Linked DNA regions of Coturnix japonica. The protein of the gene in region 1 interacts with the protein of each later gene in a biochemical or structural test. Links are inferred from orthologs where the notes say so. Each region holds a gene or a part of one and is shown in the gene's direction. Other genes may lie near its edges.

The links.
Region 2: the proteins of DYRK1A (region 1) and DCAF7 form a complex in vitro, tested with the Homo sapiens proteins (2 studies listed by BioGRID). The link is inferred for Coturnix japonica from reciprocal best matches to the Homo sapiens genes DYRK1A and DCAF7.
Region 3: of the proteins of DYRK1A (region 1) and LIN52, one has a biochemical effect on the other in vitro, tested with the Homo sapiens proteins (3 studies listed by BioGRID). The link is inferred for Coturnix japonica from reciprocal best matches to the Homo sapiens genes DYRK1A and LIN52.

Annotation. Positions count from the first base shown.
Region 1 is NC_029516.1:96,481,905-96,485,550, forward strand, and holds part of DYRK1A (dual specificity tyrosine-phosphorylation-regulated kinase 1A), read left to right. Parts: coding exon 1-208; intron 209-1,690; coding exon 1,691-1,837; intron 1,838-2,194; coding exon 2,195-2,335; intron 2,336-2,623; coding exon 2,624-2,930; intron 2,931-3,219; coding exon 3,220-3,344; intron 3,345-3,646. UniProt on the Homo sapiens protein: Dual-specificity kinase which possesses both serine/threonine and tyrosine kinase activities. Exhibits a substrate preference for proline at position P+1 and arginine at position P-3.
Region 2 is NC_029542.1:2,157,945-2,162,232, forward strand, and holds the start of DCAF7 (DDB1- and CUL4-associated factor 7), read left to right. Parts: upstream 1-1,479; 5' UTR 1,480-1,720; coding exon 1,721-1,858; intron 1,859-4,288. UniProt on the Homo sapiens protein: Involved in craniofacial development. Acts upstream of the EDN1 pathway and is required for formation of the upper jaw equivalent, the palatoquadrate. The activity required for EDN1 pathway function differs between the first and second arches.
Region 3 is NC_029520.1:34,236,936-34,241,082, forward strand, and holds the start of LIN52 (protein lin-52 homolog), read left to right. Parts: upstream 1-1,318; 5' UTR 1,319-1,410; coding exon 1,411-1,429; intron 1,430-1,516; coding exon 1,517-1,591; intron 1,592-1,686; coding exon 1,687-1,724; intron 1,725-2,245; coding exon 2,246-2,312; intron 2,313-2,810; coding exon 2,811-2,894; intron 2,895-4,147. Other genes in the region: ALDH6A1 (methylmalonate-semialdehyde dehydrogenase [acylating], mitochondrial), read right to left, coding at 1-29, 873-932, 1,066-1,116.

The DNA of each region.
Region 1 (3,646 bases):
ATTGCGGAACACCAACTTCAGAGGTGTCTCACTGAATCTGACAAGAAAATTTGCACAGCAAATGTGCACTGCACTGCTTTTTCTGGCGACTCCTGAACTTAGTATCATTCACTGTGACCTAAAACCTGAGAATATCCTGCTCTGTAACCCCAAACGAAGCGCCATCAAGATTGTTGATTTTGGCAGTTCTTGTCAACTTGGGCAGAGGGTAAGTATTGGTAAAAATGATTTGCTGATTGCGCTGTTACCGGATACATACAATAAACATGATATTTGAAAGTTATAGTACTTGATAGCTAATTCAAACTTTAGCAGTGATGACTTAAATTAATTATTGATTTTATTAAATTAAATGAATTTAATTTAATCTAATTAATTATTGAATAAGGTGTTGGATATTGGCAGGCATTAGGTGCTTTAGATAGCAATTTAAATGCCATAGTAGATAAACACTCCATCTTCTTTTTCTCTTTGGTAATACTTTTATAATGCAGAATGCATCAGCACTTTATTGTAGAACTCTGCAGAGCTCTCTGCTCTTAAATATGTTTTTTTATTATCTTCTTACTCCATAATGGTGGTATAAATATGAGTAAAGACATGTGAAAAGGTTTTCTAGGGCAAAGGGGCACATTGTTTTATTTAGATTAGGATAGAACTATAATATTAATTATGAAAAAAAATAAAATAAAAATTGTAGTTGTGTCCTGTTGTTCATATGCTTTGATGATGAGCTGTTGAAAATCTTTCCGGTATAGTTCTTTATTTACTTTAAGATATGTTAAAATATATACAACAGCCATTAAGTCCATAAACAATTCTTCTTGGCTGCCAAAGATGCTTTTTATTTAGGGGGGTAAAGGGGGTGGGGGGTGGGGAGATGGGGTGGAGGGAAGAAGGATAACATTGCTCAGATATTTAATTTTTACTGTGAGTTCACTAAAAACTTCATCAGAACGCACTGTTCAGTGTGCAAGGTATAGTCTAGTTCAGAAGAGAGTACAGACTCTTCTGGTTAAGTGAATCCTATCTGGCCTGAGTGACCACTTCTATTTGGGATACCTTAGTATTAGTCATTGGCATTGAAAACAAAGTGTTAGCTAGAGAGGTAGGGAAAACTTCTGTAGACAGAAGTCTGGCTTCCAAATCTTTTTGAAAAGAAGTTTTTGGTCTAGGATTAAGATAGAATTTTCTGTCTTGTGAAATGAGCAGGATAGCGGAGGGTGTAGCTTCTTGTTCCATGTGGAATCACAGTAATTTCATCTGATTTCATCATATCAAAACTGTGACTTTTGATTTTTATTTTTTCTTTTAAACCACAAGTTTTGTCAGAAATGCTGTGTAATTCTCATGTGGCTCATAGAATAGCTTTTCTCTTGGTGTAAGCAGACCAAAGTTCTGTTGTATAGTTAGCTGTAATTGCATGAGATTACCTTTGTTAACCATAAAGTATAAAATGTTGTCATCATGAGTGAATCTGCCCTTTTTTTTTGTTTAATAACCAGAAGCTAGTGTTTTCTTAAGAATTATCATCTAAATATTTTTATAAATTTATAGTGTAGTTTTAGCATTACTGAAATTTTGTCTTTGCTTTCCCTACTGTGAAAGTGTATTCTATGATAATTCCATTTTGTAATACAGAATAGTGCTCTTTGAATGCTATGTACTATTTTAAATTGTTTTATTTCAGATATACCAGTATATCCAGAGTCGTTTCTATCGATCACCAGAGGTGCTACTGGGAATGCCTTATGATCTTGCAATTGATATGTGGTCCCTTGGGTGTATTTTAGTTGAGATGCACACTGGAGAGCCTCTTTTCAGTGGTGCAAATGAGGTATGAAGCTATTATACAGTACATGTAATTTGATTTTTTTGGTTCTTTCTCACTGTGATATTAATCTGTCTTATTTTTATGCATAAATTAGGAAACACTAATAATTCTAAGATCAGAAAACATCAATGATAGCAATGCCTTTTAGAACTCTAACATATAATATATTCTGTTTCACGGTACCCTTCCCCTTTGTTTAGTTAATATTGTATTTTTCTTAAACTTGCAATTAGTTCACAACTTAATGTGTATGGGTAGTTAACATTTGCTTTTCACATGATTATATAGAGTATTGGACTCTTACTGCATTGTTCAGCTCTATGTCTCATGTTATTCATGAATATTCTTCATGTGGAACAGGTGGATCAAATGAATAAAATAGTGGAAGTTCTGGGGATTCCGCCTGCCCATATCCTTGACCAAGCACCAAAAGCAAGAAAGTTCTTTGAGAAGTTGCCAGATGGCACTTGGAACTTGAAGAAGACCAAAGATGGAAAAAGGGTAAGTTACGTAATCAATATGAAAATACAGAAAATACATTAAAAAGATAAAAATAAAAATAATAATAATAAAAAAGAAGTGGTGATATGTTACGTTGTTTTACATTATCTTACCAAAAGCATGGCTGTATTGTTTATTATCATTGTTCGGTGTCATAAGACAGGGCAATTAAGTGACAATTTACATAGTATTTAATAGTTTCTTACTTTGATCTGGCTGACTTATTTTATGACAAAATTAAACCATGAATTGAAGTGGCTTAATATATGTGACTTGGTTTTCCAACAGGAATACAAACCACCTGGAACTCGTAAACTTCACAATATACTAGGAGTTGAAACAGGAGGACCAGGTGGACGTCGTGCTGGGGAATCGGGTCATACTGTAGCTGACTACTTGAAGTTCAAAGACCTCATCTTAAGGATGCTTGATTATGACCCTAAGACACGAATTCAACCTTATTATGCCCTACAGCATAGTTTCTTTAAGAAAACAGCAGACGAAGGTACCAACACAAGCAACAGTGTGTCTACGAGTCCTGCTATGGAGCAGTCGCAGTCTTCAGGAACCACCTCCAGTACATCTTCAAGCTCAGGTGAGGATTTCCCCTTAATGGAACAGAAAATTATATTTCTGAATCACATCAAAGGAGACTTTCACAGGTAAAAGTCATATCACTGTCAGTCACAGTCATTGAAAGCATTTATATATTATCTAGAACAGGAAAGTGCTCTAACAAAAAAAAAAAAAAAAATCAGCAGATTTACACAACTGTGAGTGATTATCATAGGTCCTGTGTTCGAATCAGTTCAAATCTTTATGCTGTTGTTGTCTGCGACCTTCTGTAAATTTTTTCTCTTGTTGTGTTGCTATGATTTTTATAGGTGGATCTTCTGGAACAAGCAACAGTGGAAGGGCACGGTCAGACCCCACACACCAGCATCGACATAGTGGTGGACACTTCACTGCTGCTGTTCAAGCTATGGACTGTGAAACACACAGCCCACAGGTATGCTGAAGTAGAGCTTTTGTCTGTTTGATGTATATATTTTTTCTGAGAGTGTTGAATCCCTGAAACTAATTATATTAGGTTTACATGACAGGGATTCATGTCATGAGTGGAGGGGGGATGCACAGGTGTCGTCTGGGAAAAATCTAGGAGCTGACCCAAGTTAGATAAGAGCAAGCTCCATCTGGCTTAAAAAAGGGACCAGCTGTTGGCCAGAACTGAGCCAAGAAGTGACACTGGTTGCACCTCTGTGGTAGCAGATTCAAGAAAGGGGAAAAAAAAGACTGTACAGCAGCAACTGG
Region 2 (4,288 bases), on another chromosome or scaffold:
TGCAGTACTGGGGAGAGCTGCAGGTGGGAAGCCCAGGACAAGGACAGATGCTCTCCCTGTCCTACCTGATGGCCACCGAGACACTAAGGGCCAACAACCCCTTCCACTTCAGCACGCTTCAGCACGAGTCCTAGGGCACTGACTTCTCCAGCAAGGCCAACTGCACCTTGCAAACCCCAACACACATCCCACAAATCCCTATATGAACCTGACTGGTCATCGACCTGGACATAAAGCACAAAACACAAAAGCACAATCCCGAAAAGCTGCAAAGTCCTAGTCACTTCAAGTCCAGTCCTTTCTCCCAGCTTCTCTCTTTTGATAAAGGTTTGATAGATGCTTCCTCCTCCTCAGCCCTTTTCCTGGCAGAATCCCGCAGCATCCCATAGGAGAAGCCCACTTAGCACTGCTGCCTTGCCATTCGGTTAGATGCTGTGACCGTCCTAGGCCGCCTGCTCAAGTAACATATTGAGCTCCCTTTGAGAGTAGTAAAACTGTGAGCATCTCTTTCTCTGGAGTTTTAGTGTACACTTTGCTAATAAAGATGTTTTTGGCACCTGATGTGAGTTATAGCTGTGTTTGTAAGGAGGATCACCACGGGAAGCACAGAGCAAGATGCTGACCTGTAAAGAGACCTGAAAGTCACTGAGAATCCTCATCCTCATCCCCATCCCCATCCCCATCCCCCCCAGGCAGGGCATAGATGTGCCTCTCCCCAGCTGATCTTTGGATGGAAACCCCCCCCATCCCGCAGCCCCCATCCCACAAAGCTACTATTTATATCCAAGCCGGCTCAGGTTTCAGCTCCTTGCAGCAGCTGGGACATCTCATCCCCCTTTCATGCCCCAGCCCAGATTGTCAGGAGGCCTCGGGGCTTTATGAGCAGCTGGGGGAGCGCCCATAATCCGAGCTGGGTCTGGGGTCTCCATGGGTCTTAATGGGAAGGGCTAGAGCCAGGCACCGGGCTTCAGCATGCCCAGGCGTTTCGTGAGAAGCAGTGCACAGCTCTGGGTACTACTCAACGCCGCTGCGTACAATTAGAAACGAAACCCCATAATTAAACGTCATGTAATTGTAGATAAGCTCATCTCCACCCGCTACTCGGAGAAGACGGGACTCGAACTCGCGACACAACTGAAAGCCCGGCTGGCTGCCCTTAACTGCCTCGGGTTCAGGTTGATTAGCACCGCTTCCATCCAATCGGATTTCAATATGGGGCGCAAGAACCCGCCTCCCGCCACTGCGACCCCCGGGAGCCAATCAGGTGTCGAGAAGGAGCGCGGCCTCCCTTCTCAGGCGTGTTCAAACTCAACGGTAGGTTATACAGGCAAGGAGGCGGGCTCTCTTTGTTATTGATGGTCAAAGTAACCAATACAAGCCTGAATTCGGCCAAACAGACAGGAGTAGCACCCAATAGAACCAATAGAAGTGTTAATTGACAATCAACACAGCCAACCAGCACGCAGAGGGCGGGGCTAATCGCGTGGCTTCCGCTCCCGTTGTGTGAGGGCCGAATCGGGAACGGCCTTCGCGCTTCTCTCGCGGTGTCCGGGCTCTGGAGCCGGGCCTGGGGGCGCGGCCTGCCCCGGTCTCTCTCCGGTCCCCGCTCCTTGGCCTTCCCCTCGGCTGGGCCCAGCGCTCCAAGCTCAGTCCAGGCCCCATCTCAGCTGAGCCCGCTGCTTGCTCCCCTCAGGCCCAGCGGGGCCCCCTCGGCCGAGCCATGTCGCTGCACGGCAAAAGGAAGGAGATCTACAAATACGAGGCGCCATGGACCGTGTACGCCATGAACTGGAGCGTGAGGCCGGACAAGAGGTTCCGTCTGGCGTTGGGCAGCTTCGTAGAGGAGTATAACAACAAGGTGGGCAGGGGGCGAGCCGGGGATGTGCCCCTCCGTAACAGGGGGTTGGGGGGCTGCAGGGAGCTGAGCTACGGGCTCTGTATTGGAGGCCGAGGGTTGGGGTTGGTGGTGCTGCTGCTCCTCAGGCAGGAGCTTTGACTTGAATGTGTGAGGTTGTTATTCAGCGTGACAGGAAGCTCACGGCCTGGGCTCGAGTTTGTACATACATAAGCTGTATGGGACTCTGTTAGTAATAGTGTGCTCTTGTCATGATGCTGTGTTTGTAAACTGCTCTCACCGGCTCCTTTGCTTATCTCTGATGACGAGGTTGTGTCTTTAGTCTTTCCTTCTATATCTAAGCAGGGAGGCTTACGCCCTTCAGACACCTGAGCCATCCTTCCTCAGCAACCTTTAATACACTCATCTCATGCGATGAACACGAATGGCAGAGAGAGATGAGGAAACAGACATAGCTGTAGAGCATCCTGGAGTCTGTGTGCAGCTAACAGTGCTGCCAAAGTAGTTCTGTGCATTTATATCATGTGTGCTTTGAAGCTTTGTCAGGCTGCTTAATGGAGAAAATTGTTTCAGAAGTTGGTGTTTTGGATTGGGCTTTGAGGTGAGGTGATGGTAAGGCAAGACTGGCATCTCTTACAGCAGCTAAACGAGTGCCCTTGCTGCAGCCCTGGATGGGATGCTCCTATGTGAGCCAATGACCTGGAAGGGAACTTACTCCCAGAAGAGGAGTAAACTCTTTGAAAGGGCTGACAATAGCAGGACACGGGGAAATGGTTTTAAGTTAAAAGAAGGAAGATTTAGGTTGGATGTTAGGGGGAAGTTCTTTACTAGGAGAGTGGTTCGGCCCTGGAACAGGCTGCCCAGGGAGGTTGTGGATGCCCCGTCCTTGGAGGTGTTCAAGACCAGGTTGGACGGGGCCATGGGCAACCTGATCTAGTAAAGGTGTACGTATGGTGGCCCTGCTAGGCAGGGGGGTTGGAACTACATGATCCTTGAGGTTCCTTCCAACCCGGATCATTCTGTGATTCTGTGAATTGCTGGTGAGCATTATGTGGTTCTGGGAATGCTGCTTTCCAGGCAGGTCTGAGCTTGCTGACTTTTCATTTGTTTAAAGACTAACTCCATCATGTTTTCTGTAGGTTGCGCTCTGAGAAGCAAAAGTAACAACCTTCCAAACGTGTTTTTTTGTTTAGGAGTGGTGGAACTTGTTAATTAGGGGTATGTTTCTGTTGCGTTTACATCCTTCTGTTTGGATCATTCCCTGGGGGTTGCTCCCAATTACAATGTGATCAGGTCTGCTTTTCATTTCAGGCTTCAAGTATATAAAGGCAGTTGAGTCAGCAACTCTTTCTATTTAAGAAAACAACAGCAACAACTCCCAGACTGAAAACTTTACACTCCTAGTTGCTGCAAACAGGAATTGTGCGGTACTGCATTAACTCCAGCTGTTTGTGAATAACCCCCTGAGCTTCTTTTGGTCTCTGTGCTTCGGGAATGGCTTGTTGTGTTGACTTCAGGTCCATATAAGCACCAAATGGTATGAGATTTAATTAGGGTATAAAGCAAGAAAGTAATTGTATGAGAATGGGGATTCCAGCCTGGATGCTGCTGCTACAAAAGTGAAGATATGTTCTTTACTTCTATTTTATACTGGCAACTTCTGACATCAAAATACACACAGTAGCACCAACTGGAAGGAAAATGGAAGTGATAATGGAAGCTCTCTTCCACTTTAACTCTCTCTTTGTGTTTTGAAGGCTTTTGATGGCTCCAAATGTCATTTCTGTTCTGTCCTTGCAGTGTTTTGTTCTAAGGAACTGGCTTCTTTCCTTCCCCCTGGAAGACCAGTTCAGAGTAGCAATTCTAGGTTTCTTAACATCTAACCAAATAAGTGGCTGTATCTCTTCCTCATTACCCTCCCATGTGCATTTTTAAAATGGTTCTTAGTGCATTAAATCTTTTCTAATTGCTGCAGCAGAAGCTCCTGGTTATTTTTCTGTTCCTGTAGTAATTACCAGAGCTCGAAATACTTAAGGTTTCATACATAAGATGGCTGTTTACACCTCTGTTTTGGGTGGATTCAGCTCAGTCAGCTGCCAAGCCATGACTTATTGCTGCCCCCAGCTCCCAGACTCTTGGAACCTCTGTCAGCTCTCCCACTAACAAGCTGTATGACATACAAGAAAGCTGATTGCTGAGATCTCTTTGAACCCCAAAGGAGTTTTGTTTCAGCTCCTACACCTGTGCTCATCAAATCACTGGTACAGAAAGAGAGATGACTTTGCTCCAGGGGAAAGGACTAAAATTATTCAGGCTAGGCTTTCCTGAGCTTCTTGAATCAGCAAACTGCTGTCAGGCTTCAGAATGCCTCATGGATCACAGGCGTAATAGCAGGGAGCTGAGGTGTTTGTACGTTCTGCTGTTAATGCTGCT
Region 3 (4,147 bases), on another chromosome or scaffold:
TTCCCATCGATGAACAGTTTAGTTGTTGGCTGTGGAGGACAGCACAGTGAGTGATCTTTCCCTGAAAGTGCACACATAACAATGTGCCCTGTTATGTGCAGGCTTTTGCTATTTCCCACTGTACTCCATCATTTTTTTCCCCTTGATTTAGGCTAAAATTGTCAAAACCCCGTCTAAAAACTATTACAGAAGATACACATTGATAGAATCATGTTCAGAACTATTTTAATCTACTCAGTCACTACAATTGCTAAGTCATAAAAACCCTGCAGTTCACAGACATATTTAAAAGAAACCAGTTAATAATTCACTTGGTAAGAATTCTGCCCATTAGTTAAGGAGTTCAGGTAAGTATGGAGAAGAAAAAGCAGGGGTAGAAGATGCAGTTAGTGCTGCAACATGCAGGAAGAACTGGGGCCATATAAGTGAAGAGATTGGAATATAGTGCCAAAGGCTTTGCTGAAGTCTAGGTAGACTGTGCCAACAGCCTTTCCCTCATCCACCGGGCAGTTCACCTGGTGAGGGCAGGGATGCTAATGCTGCTGTGATGGTGGGAGAGGGATCAAAGGACGAATCAGGAAAATAAATGGGGCTGAGCCGGACAGGTCACGGCTGCGAAGAGTGTAATGGATAAGCGAGGCCTCGGCTTGTGAAGGAACGCGGCGGTGGGTTAAAATAAGAATAAGACATGACAAGTGCTGATGTGGCTGGCGTTACGGCGGGACGAGCCGTGCCGCGGGCTGCACTCGGGATAACACCATCTTCAGAACTGAAGGGAGAGCAGGAAATCCGAGCTGCTCCTCGGCCCGGCGGAGCCACCGCCGCGGGCCCCTCCAGCCCAACAGCAAACAGAGCTGCCCGGCCCCACTCACCACGGAGGAGGAGGAGACGGCGGCCGAAGCGATCCAGGGAGCCCCGGCTGTCCGCGGCAGCTGGATGTGGACACAGAGCAGCCCGGTTACACGGTGCTCCCCTCCTCCTCCACACCCCCCACCTCCTCCCCACCGCCCCCCGAGGTGCCACCCGCGGCCCCTCCCGCAGCGCTGTGTCCGTGTGCCGCCTCACCCTGAGCACCACGCGCCGCCCGCCCCAAGCGCCACGAGCCACCGCCGCCATCCCGGCCGAGGGTCACAGCGCTCGGACCCCGAGCGGAGCCCCCAGCACAGGGACCCGCCCCCGCCCGCTCATTGGCCAGACGAGCGCCCCCCCCGCCCGCTGTACGCCCCCCCCGAGGGGGCCTTGCCGGCCGCCAGCCAATCGCTGCCAGGGAGAGCGTCGCCCCGCCCCTTTCCCGCCACCGCCCCCCCATCCGGGGCAGCGATTGGCCACGAGCACTAAGGCGCTCGGGCTCTGTTGTCACGTGGGTGGATTCCCGCGGGCTGTGGGTTTAGGTCACGTGACGCAGGCAAGATGGCGGCTCCCGGTGACGGTAAGGCGCGCGAATGGGGTCATCGTCACCCTGCGGTACGGTCTGAGCGGGCGCCGCTTCACCTCCGTTCTACTCCCTGTGCTGTAGGTGCCGATCTGGAAGCCTCTCTGCTGAGCTTCGAGAAGCTCGACCGGGCTTCTCCGGACCTGTGGCCTGAGCAGTGTGAGTGAGTGCGGCGGGCCCGTGTCGCTGGGGTGATGGCGGGGCTGCCGGGCCGGCCCCGCGCTCACCCGGCGCTGTTCGGTTCTCTCTTGCAGTGCCCGGCGTCGCCGAGTTCGCCGCCTCCTTCAAAAGCGTAAGATGCCAACACCACGGCACTGCGGGTCATACAGGCACTGCGGGAGGGACGAGCTGCGCAGGAACGCGCTGCTCTAAGCCCTGGGGGTGCTGCTCTTACTGCTGGCTTTGGCTGTGACTTGCAGTAACACCCAACTCGTCCAGGAAGAGCTTTCTAGGCATTAGAGTAGCCCTGTAGGGTGCCTGGAGCCATCGCGTTTATTCTTTCAGTGTAACTGGTTGTAAATAGGTGACGGAGCACTGGAACAGGCTGCACAGGGAGGTGGTGGAGTCTCCTTCTTTGGAGATATTCAAGACCCGCCTGGACACCTACCTGTGTGACATGGTGTAGGGAGCCTGCTTTGGCAGGGGGGTTGGACTCGATGATCTCTAGAGGTCCCTTCCAACCCCTACAATTCTGTGTGTGTAAATGCTATATCAGGCTTTGTATGCAGCTAAAAATGTACTTCTCTGAGAATGTTTTGCTTTTTTTTCTTCCTTTCTTTTTGTTCTTTTTCTTTTTCCTCCCCCCCAAACCAGCCTATTACAAGCTCGCCTCCCAAATGGATGGCTGAACTGGAGAATGATGATATCGATATGTTAAAGGGTGAGTATGGGCTCCATGGGCACTGAGGCTGTCTGCGGGTGGGAATTCAGTGCCTACTAAAAAGATGAGCTCAGAGACCTTCTGAAGCCTTGTGGAAAGGAAGGGATGGGGGATGCTCCTCTTAATCTGCAGACCATCTTAACCTGCAGAACATCTCCAGTTGAATGATTCTGCTTAGGAGTCTTTGTCTTGTCAATTGCCTCTATCTTTAGTTGGTCCCACAAGAATATATACTGATAACAAAAATGCTGTTGTTCTCCTTGTTACTGCTTTTTGAAGCAGTAAATCCCTGCTGTTTATTTTTTCTTCATTTTTTTTGATTGCTTTGGAACAGTTAGAATGTCTTGCTGGTTATTATGAGTTGTGAGAGCTGAAGAACATATGCTGTACACTGTAAACCGATACTGTTCAAAGTATAACTTGAATGCTCTGTGAAGCGATAAACATAAGCTGCCACTAGAGGGCTACAGTGTTAAAAATCACGCTTTTTCCTTTTAGAGCTGGGAAGCCTCACTACAGCCAACCTGATGGAAAAGGTTCGTGGCCTGCAGAATTTGGCATATCAGCTGGGACTGGATGAATGTGAGTTCTGTGCACAGATGTGATGACTGTATTATGAATCTTGCCACTGAAGTGTGTGTTTATGTTGCACTTACAGTCAGAAAAGTACGTTTGCTGAAGTGGGGAATGTCACACAATTATGACAGTGCAATAGAGAATTTTCTGAAGAAAAAAAGAGTGCTGCTCTAAGCAAGTCTATCATGGATGCAGTGGAGCCTAATAGAGCACATTTAAAAGAATTTCTTATTTTAGGTCTTGTTTTCTGTTTTGAATGCTAAGGTCCAGTGTTTTCTAGTGGCCCATCAATTTCTGACTTAACTTTGGCTTAGGTAAATCACTCAGTTTGCTTCATTTACCGCTTAGGTGCTAACACTCTGTCACAGAGTATCTGTGCCACCACTTCTGTGACTGTGCGTTTGTGTACTGCCTACAGAGTGAAAATGTAACTGGTGTGCAGGATTCTGTTAGCCATTAGTGCTCTTGTAACTTTGGGCTTCTGCAGTTATTTATTTTCCATAGTCAGCTATAGCAGGAGGTGCTGTCACTGCATTCTAAAGTTGACCTTCATCCTGCTTACCAACAACCAATTTATGTCAGTGCCTTTTTTGAAGGGGGGTGGGGGTGGGAGTGGGGGTGGGGATGGGGGGAAGATGCGTTTTTTTTATTGTCATTGCATATAGGATTTTGTTGTTAATGTGCTGATCCGGCTTTGAAGATTCCAAAGGGATTGTGCTTCCTTTAAACAGTATCTGTGTGTACTGATGCATTTAACTTTTACTGCTTTATTTTGCTCTGTCTTAGACTTCAGTTTTAGCAAACTCTTGAGCTTTACATGAGGCTTTGAAAATTTTTAGGCTCAAAGATTTTTTTCAGCTTTATTTCAGTGGGTAACAAAAAGCAGTTGAACTTTGAAGTCTCGTGATTGTGAGCCTGGAATACATATTTCTTATCAATAGATCATTAAGCCTGTTTGAACACTCTCTCCATAGGTAGAAATTTACTTTCAGTGCCAACATCTACAAGGATTGAATAAAGCTTTTAGTGGAGTAGAAGTTATACTTTAACAATGGAAATCTTAATCAAATAATAAGATTGGCTGGTGGTTTGCTTTCTCGATTTATATAACGTCTCACTGTATTTGCAATTTATTTTCACCAAAGTCTATCTCTGTAACACATTGAGTGCTTTGTGTGTCATGACGTATACATGTATGTTAGGAAATCTTCCATATATAATTAAATGCTGAGTTTGACATGGGCTCTCAGCACTGTTTC